2 linked regions of the Danio rerio genome follow. The protein of the gene in region 2 purifies or fractionates together with the protein of the main gene of each other region. This does not show direct contact. Links are inferred from orthologs where the notes say so. Each region holds a gene or a part of one and is shown on either strand. Other genes may lie near its edges. The genes, in order: narfl and ciao1.

Evidence for each region.
Region 1: the proteins of ciao1 (region 2) and narfl purify together in Homo sapiens (affinity purification with western blotting; 3 studies listed by BioGRID and IntAct, with this or other methods). This does not show direct contact. The link is inferred for Danio rerio from reciprocal best matches to the Homo sapiens genes CIAO1 and CIAO3.

The regions. Positions count from the first base shown.
Region 1 is NC_133178.1:17,544,378-17,548,214, reverse strand, and holds part of narfl (cytosolic Fe-S cluster assembly factor narfl), read right to left. Parts: intron 2,015-3,837; coding exon 1,885-2,014; intron 963-1,884; coding exon 890-962; intron 799-889; coding exon 661-798; intron 1-660.
Region 2 is NC_133183.1:6,297,733-6,302,070, reverse strand, and holds the start of ciao1 (probable cytosolic iron-sulfur protein assembly protein ciao1), read left to right. Parts: upstream 1-1,387; 5' UTR 1,388-1,496; coding exon 1,497-1,635; intron 1,636-4,326; coding exon 4,327-4,338. UniProt on the Homo sapiens protein: Key component of the cytosolic iron-sulfur protein assembly (CIA) complex, a multiprotein complex that mediates the incorporation of iron-sulfur cluster into extramitochondrial Fe/S proteins.

The sequences.
Region 1 (3,837 bases), on a different chromosome or scaffold from region 2:
TGTAAGAAATAATTGTCATATTTATTTACATTTGGTTATTTTTTTTTATTTATTTGGTTATTTTTTTAATGCCATATCAGTACTAATGTTGATGGGAATATTTTAAATCAAAAAGGGTAATAAAAAAAAGAACAAAAAAAGATATTCAAGGCAGCATGGGGGCGCAGTGGGTAGCACAATCGCACAGGGTGCTGGTTCGAGCCCCGGCTAGGTCAGTTGGTGTTTCTGTGGAGTTTGCATGTTCTCCCCGAGTTTGTGTGGGTTTGCCTCTAGGTGCTCTGGTTTCCCCCACAAGTAAAAAACATGTGTGGTACAGGTGAATTGAATAAGCTAAAACGTGTATGTGTGTATGGATGCGTGTATGGACGTTTTCCAGTGATGTGTTGCAGCTGGAAGGGCATCCGCTGTGTAAAACAGATGCTGGATAAAGTGGTGGTTTATTCTGCTGGGGCGAACCCAGATTAATAAAGGGACTAAGCCCAAAAAAAATGAATGAATGAATGAAAAAGCTATACAAGTGATAAGCAATGCATTTACTGCAGGTATTCCTTCTGTCACATGCTTTAATGAGTATTGATTAACTGCCATATATATTATATTTTGCTCATATATTTCTTGCATTAGAAATACATAAGCATGAAGCATATTTATAATACATACTTCATAGTCTTGTAAGTGAGCTCATCAACGTCGACACCAAACAGTTGTTTGGCAGCATGTTTGTAGATGTGATGAAGATACCCGCCAGATCCGCTTCCTGCGTGGCCCAGCAGCTCCTCACCACACACATTACTAAACCTAAAACACACATTCGCATCACAAAACTCACCAGACGACTCCATTTCATAATGTATAGCTCAATTAGACTGTGAAGAGATGCAGAACGCACATAGTGTCTAAAGGTGCCGGCTGAACATCCCTCAAGGACACCTTCTCCTCTTCCAGCATCTTCAAAACTTCCCCTGTCAATCAGAAAAAATCCAGAGACATTCTAATAGTCATAATGGTTGACTTTAGTTTGTCTTTTTGAGGCATGGTTCACACCAGAATAAACATTTGCTGCTCCATGCTCACAGATAATCAAATATGTAGGAGATTTGTTTTTTATCAGTAAAACATTAAAGAAGATTTTTGGCGATTATTGCTGACCATGAAATGAATTAATGCCAGATCCACACAGAATCTGCTCCCACAGGCATACATAAAACAGAGAGTTCTTATTTATTTACTTATGCAAATGTGAGCTAAATGTGATTTTAAATGTAGATTCTATCTGGCCCTGGTCAATAGTAACCATCACTATATTAATCTGAAAGACATACAAAGGCAAAACAAAAAATATACCCATGGTTCTTAATGAAACATTTAAGTATTCAGACAAAACAATAACTCTGTCCAAATATTTGAACGTTATATTTAGCATTATAACCTGTAATTCACAGCCTTGACAAATGGTCCTGAGTGGCGTCTGATTTCTGCACTAGCCATCAGTTACAACCGGTTTATTTTAGATTACTGGATTAACCAGTTCTCTCTGTCAGCAAAGATCTGCAAGTTACTGTATTTAATCTGTATTTAAACAGACAAACCACAACCCTGTAATGATTACAAGTAAAGGTGCGGTCATACTATTGATCCCTATTGCCTTCTATTCATATACATGTGAATGTACTAGACTGTAAATAAAAGCTTGCATGTAATGATTGTGTTTCACTGCAGAAATTGAATGTCGGTAGTCACTAATTTCATTTTAGAAATAGAGAAGGACCGCAGATTACAGAACAAATAAAAAAGCCCCGACATTTTCAATGTCTTTAGAGGGACTAAATTAGCAGCTGATATTGGGGGGTGAACTGTCGCTTTAACGTGATTAGATTCACTCACCTGAAGTGATGACACAGTCCACCTCTCTGGTCTCGTGCTCACTGAGATAGAAGTCTGGTCTGGAAGCCTCTAGTTTTTTGTCATAGCAGGGCATCACAGTTACGTGGTAAATCATCTGTGGTGAAACACCCTATTATAACAAAAGATGGAGAATAAAGGTCTCATACCTCATCTGACATAGCAAAGCTTCAATATATCCTACTTTGAAATGAATATCGACATCAGAAATGTCATTTAAATATAAAGAAGTAAAAAAAAAAATAGTTATTTAGTTAAGTGTATATATACACAGTTATCAGTTAGATAACAGAGATAAAAATATTATCCCTCCTGTGAAATGTTTGTTCTTTTTCAAATATTTCCTACATTTACTAAAAACATATTTTTTAAACATAATGGTTTTAATAACTATTTTGTAATAACTAATTTATTTTGTCTTTTCTATTTAAAGGCAAAACTAGTTTACTTATTTTAACTAGACAAGTTAATTAGGCATGTCAATGGACAACAGTGGTTTGTTCTGTAGCCAATTGAGAAATTAAATATATTAATATTGACCTTAGCATATACTTATTAGATTTTTTATTCATGTTACAGGAGGGCGAACAAGTTTGTCTTCAACTGTATGTCTATAGAAACATGTATGTATGAGTGTGTGTATGCATATGAAGTGGAAGTCAGAATTATTATTATTATATTATCAGAATTTTATGTTTTAGAATAGAATATATAATATTCTCTATAATATTTGTACAGGAAACACAAGCCCTATATGTGCTGTTTACATATATTTGAATTATTTAGAAAGTGAGTGCATGTTTTTACTAAAACTGATATTGATTTTTTTTATGCGTGTGCGAGTAAAACAATACAATTTGCGCAAAAAAATGATGGGGTTTTTCTATAAAGAAGTTTTTTACCACACCGTTTAGAGCATTATTCTGGGCGTTTTACATTATAATTAACGTGGTTCAAGCGATGGATCTGCGAGAGAAACTACGGGTTTTGGGAAACACTAGTCACTACATCGTTCTTTTCCCAAACAATGCATAGTACTATGTTAGTTAAGCTGCGAGTTACGTCGTTGTTTGGGAAATGCACACCTGGCTAGTTAACCTAATTAACTGTATGTATTAAGCTGTATAGAAGTGTCTTGAAAAATATCTAGTCAAATATTATTTACTGTCATCATGGCAAATATAAAATACGTCAGTTATTAGAAATGAGTTATTAAAACTAATATGATTAGAAATGTGTTGAAGAAATCTTGTCTCTGTTAACCAGAAAATGGGGAAAAATCAAAACAGGGGGGCTAATAAATCAGATGGCTTAATAATTCTGACTTTAACTGTATATAACATCTTTGACAAATATTTGAAATAACAACATCAATTTCCTTTCAAAATCAATTAATCATTTAAATAAAAACAATGCTGTTTATGTTAATATTAAATCAAGTGAATCCAACATCGAACATGTGAGTATGCACTATTAAGTGAAAACATTAAAAAAATAAATAAATAAATAAAATATATATATATATATATATATATATATATATATATATATATATATATATATATATATATATATATATATCACTCACTGTTAACTTAAGTAAAAGATTTGTGAAGATCGCATGCCACTGTGTTTACTTTAGTAATGTCAATATTCAATGCAAATAGAGGAGTGCATCATTGGTCTTTTCTGGAGTTCTAGTGAAAGCTGACAAACAAAAACTTTACCATACAAAATGTCAAAGCCCTATGCAAACTTTACAATTAGTACAAATAAGAGCAACAACACAAGTAAGTCATAAAAAAACATTTATATTAAGAACAAACTAAGTCTTGCATAACATTCAAATCAGGCTCAGAAAATATTTCGACATGTTTTTTAATTGAGTATGGCACAAGGCATTTTGGGCAGGGCTTCTGTCTCTGAACAGAAACT
Region 2 (4,338 bases):
GTTAGTTTTATATTGGTTTATTTATTTAATGTGATTTTATTATATCTGATATTTGTAATTCTTTAAATTATTTCAATATGGCTTAGGCTATTTTATCTAGATATGACACTATTGTTTTGAGCCTACAAAAGTGGACACGAAATTTGTAAAGTTTAATGTCTTTCTGTTGTATTCATATAGTGTATTAACTCCAAAATAAATAAAAACAACAAAAAGAAAAGAAAAAAGCCGTACGGCATCAACAGAGTTGTGAAGGAAGAGCTCTTTTCCTTGGTCTCACACACATACAGGCATCTAAACTCGCACAAACACACCTTTTAAACTTGACAAAAACTCTCGAAAACCTTCACTGTCTGCTGTGTCTTTAATATGGTGTAAAGATTATTACGCGTTATTGAAACATCAAGGAGGACGCAGCAAAGAAAAGTCACTTATATAAATTAAAACTACTTTATTATTTTATGCAACAGCCTTACATTTAAAAGAGAAACATAAGGGCGATCATACGCAAAAAGACCCCAGCCTATTTGTTCCAGATGTTTTCTTTCCCTTGTTTATTTATTTATTTGTTTATGTGTTTGGCACATGTACTTGTGTGCGATCAGAAAATTGTGCCCGCCTCTCCTTTCACTCCGCCCCAAAGCCCCAGATGGCCCTCTTTGGCCCAAGGTATTTGGGGGGCCGAAAAAGGCCGGCCGCTGGCCCCAAGAAAGCCCTGATTTGGCTTGATTAGCCCCCGGAAGTGACAGTGGAAACGCGACTGGCCGTGGCTCGCTCGCTTTAGGCGCGATAGTGAAAACGCGGCTATTATCCTTAGACGCTGGCTAGATATTGAATTTTGATCACCTGACATCACAACCTAAAACTAACCTAATATTAACGTCTTATGACGTTGTGTGCTTGCTGGGCAATAACTCAATGCACTACAGAATTTTACGTTTACACACATTCACAAACTACAACGCATCAGTTTTTACCAGCGTAATACTCACTACTCTTGAGTACTTTTGAAAGGGCTACTTTTTACTCATACTTTGAGTAATATTCACAACATATAATTTTACTCTACTTGCACTTCATTTTTAGGCAAGTAATGGTACTTGAGTAGGATTTTTCAGTATCTTTCCACCACTGATGGAAACACAACTAGCTGACTTCTGTAGTAGTTTTTGTTCCAGCTATGGATGTCAACGGCTGCTTTTTTTCTTCAGAATGTCTTGTTTTGTGTTCAAAGGTTTGGCATTACTTCAGGGTGAGCAAATAAATATTTAGCTTTGTGTGAACTATCCCTTGAATGAAACGCTACAGTCCTGATGGTGGCGCTACTGCCGCGCATTTCTATCAACCGCAAGACACTGAAGCACAAAACAGGAAGCGGGAAGCAGCTGATAAACAGAAGACTTGAAGTTGTGTGACATCCGAGAGAGAACAGTGCTGCCGACAGGGAAACATTTACATGTCACATAGTAATAATTAATAACACACAGTTATATGAAATGAAGGGCGCGCTGGAGCTACAGCACAGGGTGAGCGCGCACCCGGACTCGCGCTGTTGGTACGTCGCGTGGAATCCCGCGGGCACGACGCTCGCGACCTGCGGCGGAGACCGTGCGATAAGAATATGGGGCAAAGAAGGTAAAACATAGCAAAATACATGTGTACAGCACACGTTTAAATCTATTTATTTAACCCTTCTGTTGTATTAGAATTATGTATACACGGTTCGCCCTTCACTAAACCCAAAACTGGTTTTATATTTAGACATTCGGACTTTCTCCTTAACTTAATAATATAAAGCTAATGATTATCAAAGTAAATCATTGTTTACAGTTAGATAAATAGTGTTAATGTTGTTTTTAAGCCATACTTGCATGTGATTTCAGACCGAATATACAAAGTACCATGATAAACATTATAGGAAGCATGTCACAAGTTGTCACTTAATGAATGGACGAATATAAAACCCAACTCTAACGTTATCTTAATTAAAATAAATCAGCTACATTTTATTTCAATCCTCAGATCTATTTTGCACAAAGAAACCATCTCATCTTCATCACAAACTCTGAATGTCTAGGTTTCCCTCAGGTTTCATTGTGGAGTATTTCACCAATGTTTAACTTAATCAGAGGCCATAGGTTTTGACTGAAGTACAGGCTTTATTTTCTAATGCTATTGTGTGTGAGTATTGTTTTTGTAGTGTAAAAATGGTTTTATAGTTGGTGTCAAAATTGAGCACAAGGACAACCGTTGTACCCTAATGTGTGAGCAATTCCAGCATTTTGGATGTGACAATTATTAGTTAAGCATAATTGCGCAGAGAAAGTATATGTAAACATATTAAAACATATTTATATTTTCTAAAACAACTACAGAGTTATGGGGTCAGAAAAATATTTGCCGGTATAAGATACTGGCGGTATGATAACCTTGGTTTCACGGTATTGTAATTACTGCTCTAAAAGTTATTTTTAAATGCCTGGGTAAAAAAACAACAAAATTTTCCTCCTTTGAATACAATATATTTTATTTTTTGAAAGATTTATAATATTTTGGAGCAGTAAACATGTCAGGCTAAATAATTGAAATTAATTATTGACTTCTGCTGTCTTCATTTGTTTCAAAAACACAGATTTCTTTACAATTTATACGGCATCTTTGGATATCTTTTCTGCTGGAGATGCTGTTGTCCTAAAAAACAAACAAAAAAGTAAATAAAAAATCGTGCACATACCTTAGGAACGGTATCTGCCGATCTGATGCAGTTAGGGAGTTCATTCCACCAACTGGGCAGATTGAATGCGAGAGTTCGGGAAAGTGATTTCTTCCCTCTTTGGGACGGAACCACAAGGCGACGTTCATTCATTGAACGCAAGTTTCTGGAGGGCACATAGATCTGCAGAAGTGAGAGCAGATGAGAAGGAGCAAAGCCAGAAGTCGCTTTGTAAGCAAACATCAGCTTTGAATTTGATGCGAGCAGCAACTGGCAGCCAGTGCAAACGGATGAGTAGCGGAGTGACGTGTTCTTTCAGGTTCATTAAAGACCACTCGTGCTGCTGCGTTCTGAAGCAGCTGAAGAGGTTTGATAGAGTTAGCTGGAAGCCATATATAAAATATATATAAAACAATTTTTTTAAATACTTTTATTGTTTCAGAAAAATGTGATACATAATGTATTAGTAACCAAATACCAATCAAAGAACACCCAACCCCATCCCGACAGAGACATAATATATATATATATATATATATATATATATATATATATATATATATATATATGTTACACATACAGTACATGCAAAAAATATTAATTAATAAATGAATAAAAGTAAAATAAACTAAAATAAGATAAAATAATAATAATAAAAAGGGCAATTTTGAAAAAAAAAGACATTAAGACAATGACAGTTCAACACACATACATTCCAATGAAAGTGAAAAAGATATTAAAGTTAGTCATAACAAACACAGTGCACATTAACACAGTCACATTGTTTGTGATTACTAAACGTTCAGGCCATTCTTACTTAAAAAATAAAGAAAGAAGTCCCAAATCTTGTAAAATATGTGCATTTTTTGTTTGACTGAGTAAGTCAGTCTTTGCATTGCTATACAAGAAGACATTTCCTCAATCCAGAGTGACAAAGATGGACCATGAATACTTCTCCAGTGAATGGCAGTCAGGCATTTCGTATGCAATAGACACAGATTTTAAAACTTCTGTTCATATGACTTCAGCGATAAGGCAGGTGGGAAAAGACCAAGAACACAGATTTAGGGCAAACAGGGATTTCTTTAACAATAGTTTTAGAGATTACATCTATTAGGTATTTCCAAAAGGATTGCAAGTGCTCGCATTGCCAAACACAATGGAATAGTGTACTCTTGTAAGTCAAACATAAAACACAAAACAATTTTGATAATATTAATTTTTATTATATTTAAAATTTGTAAAAGCTTATTGAGAGGGAAAACTTATAGATTTAAAGGAAAAGTAAATATTTCAAATGCAATTAGATAATTATTTTGGGGTCTCACTGTGTTTTTAATGTATTTGCTGTTCTGTTTTTGACAATTTTTTTACATTTTGCTCCATCATGATAACAAAATATTAATACAATTTTAAATAATATAAAATATGAACCCTTTACAGGGCACTCATTGAAATACTCATTGGAAAATCCTTGGTGTTACTGGTGGTAATTACAAGACTTTTGAAGTTTTAGGACTTTTATATAGTCTCTTTAAAACATTAATAGCATCCAGAAAAATAGAAAAAAAGCATTATTGCATTTTCAGCCTCTCGTTTGTTTTCATTCTCAGGGGACAGTTGGG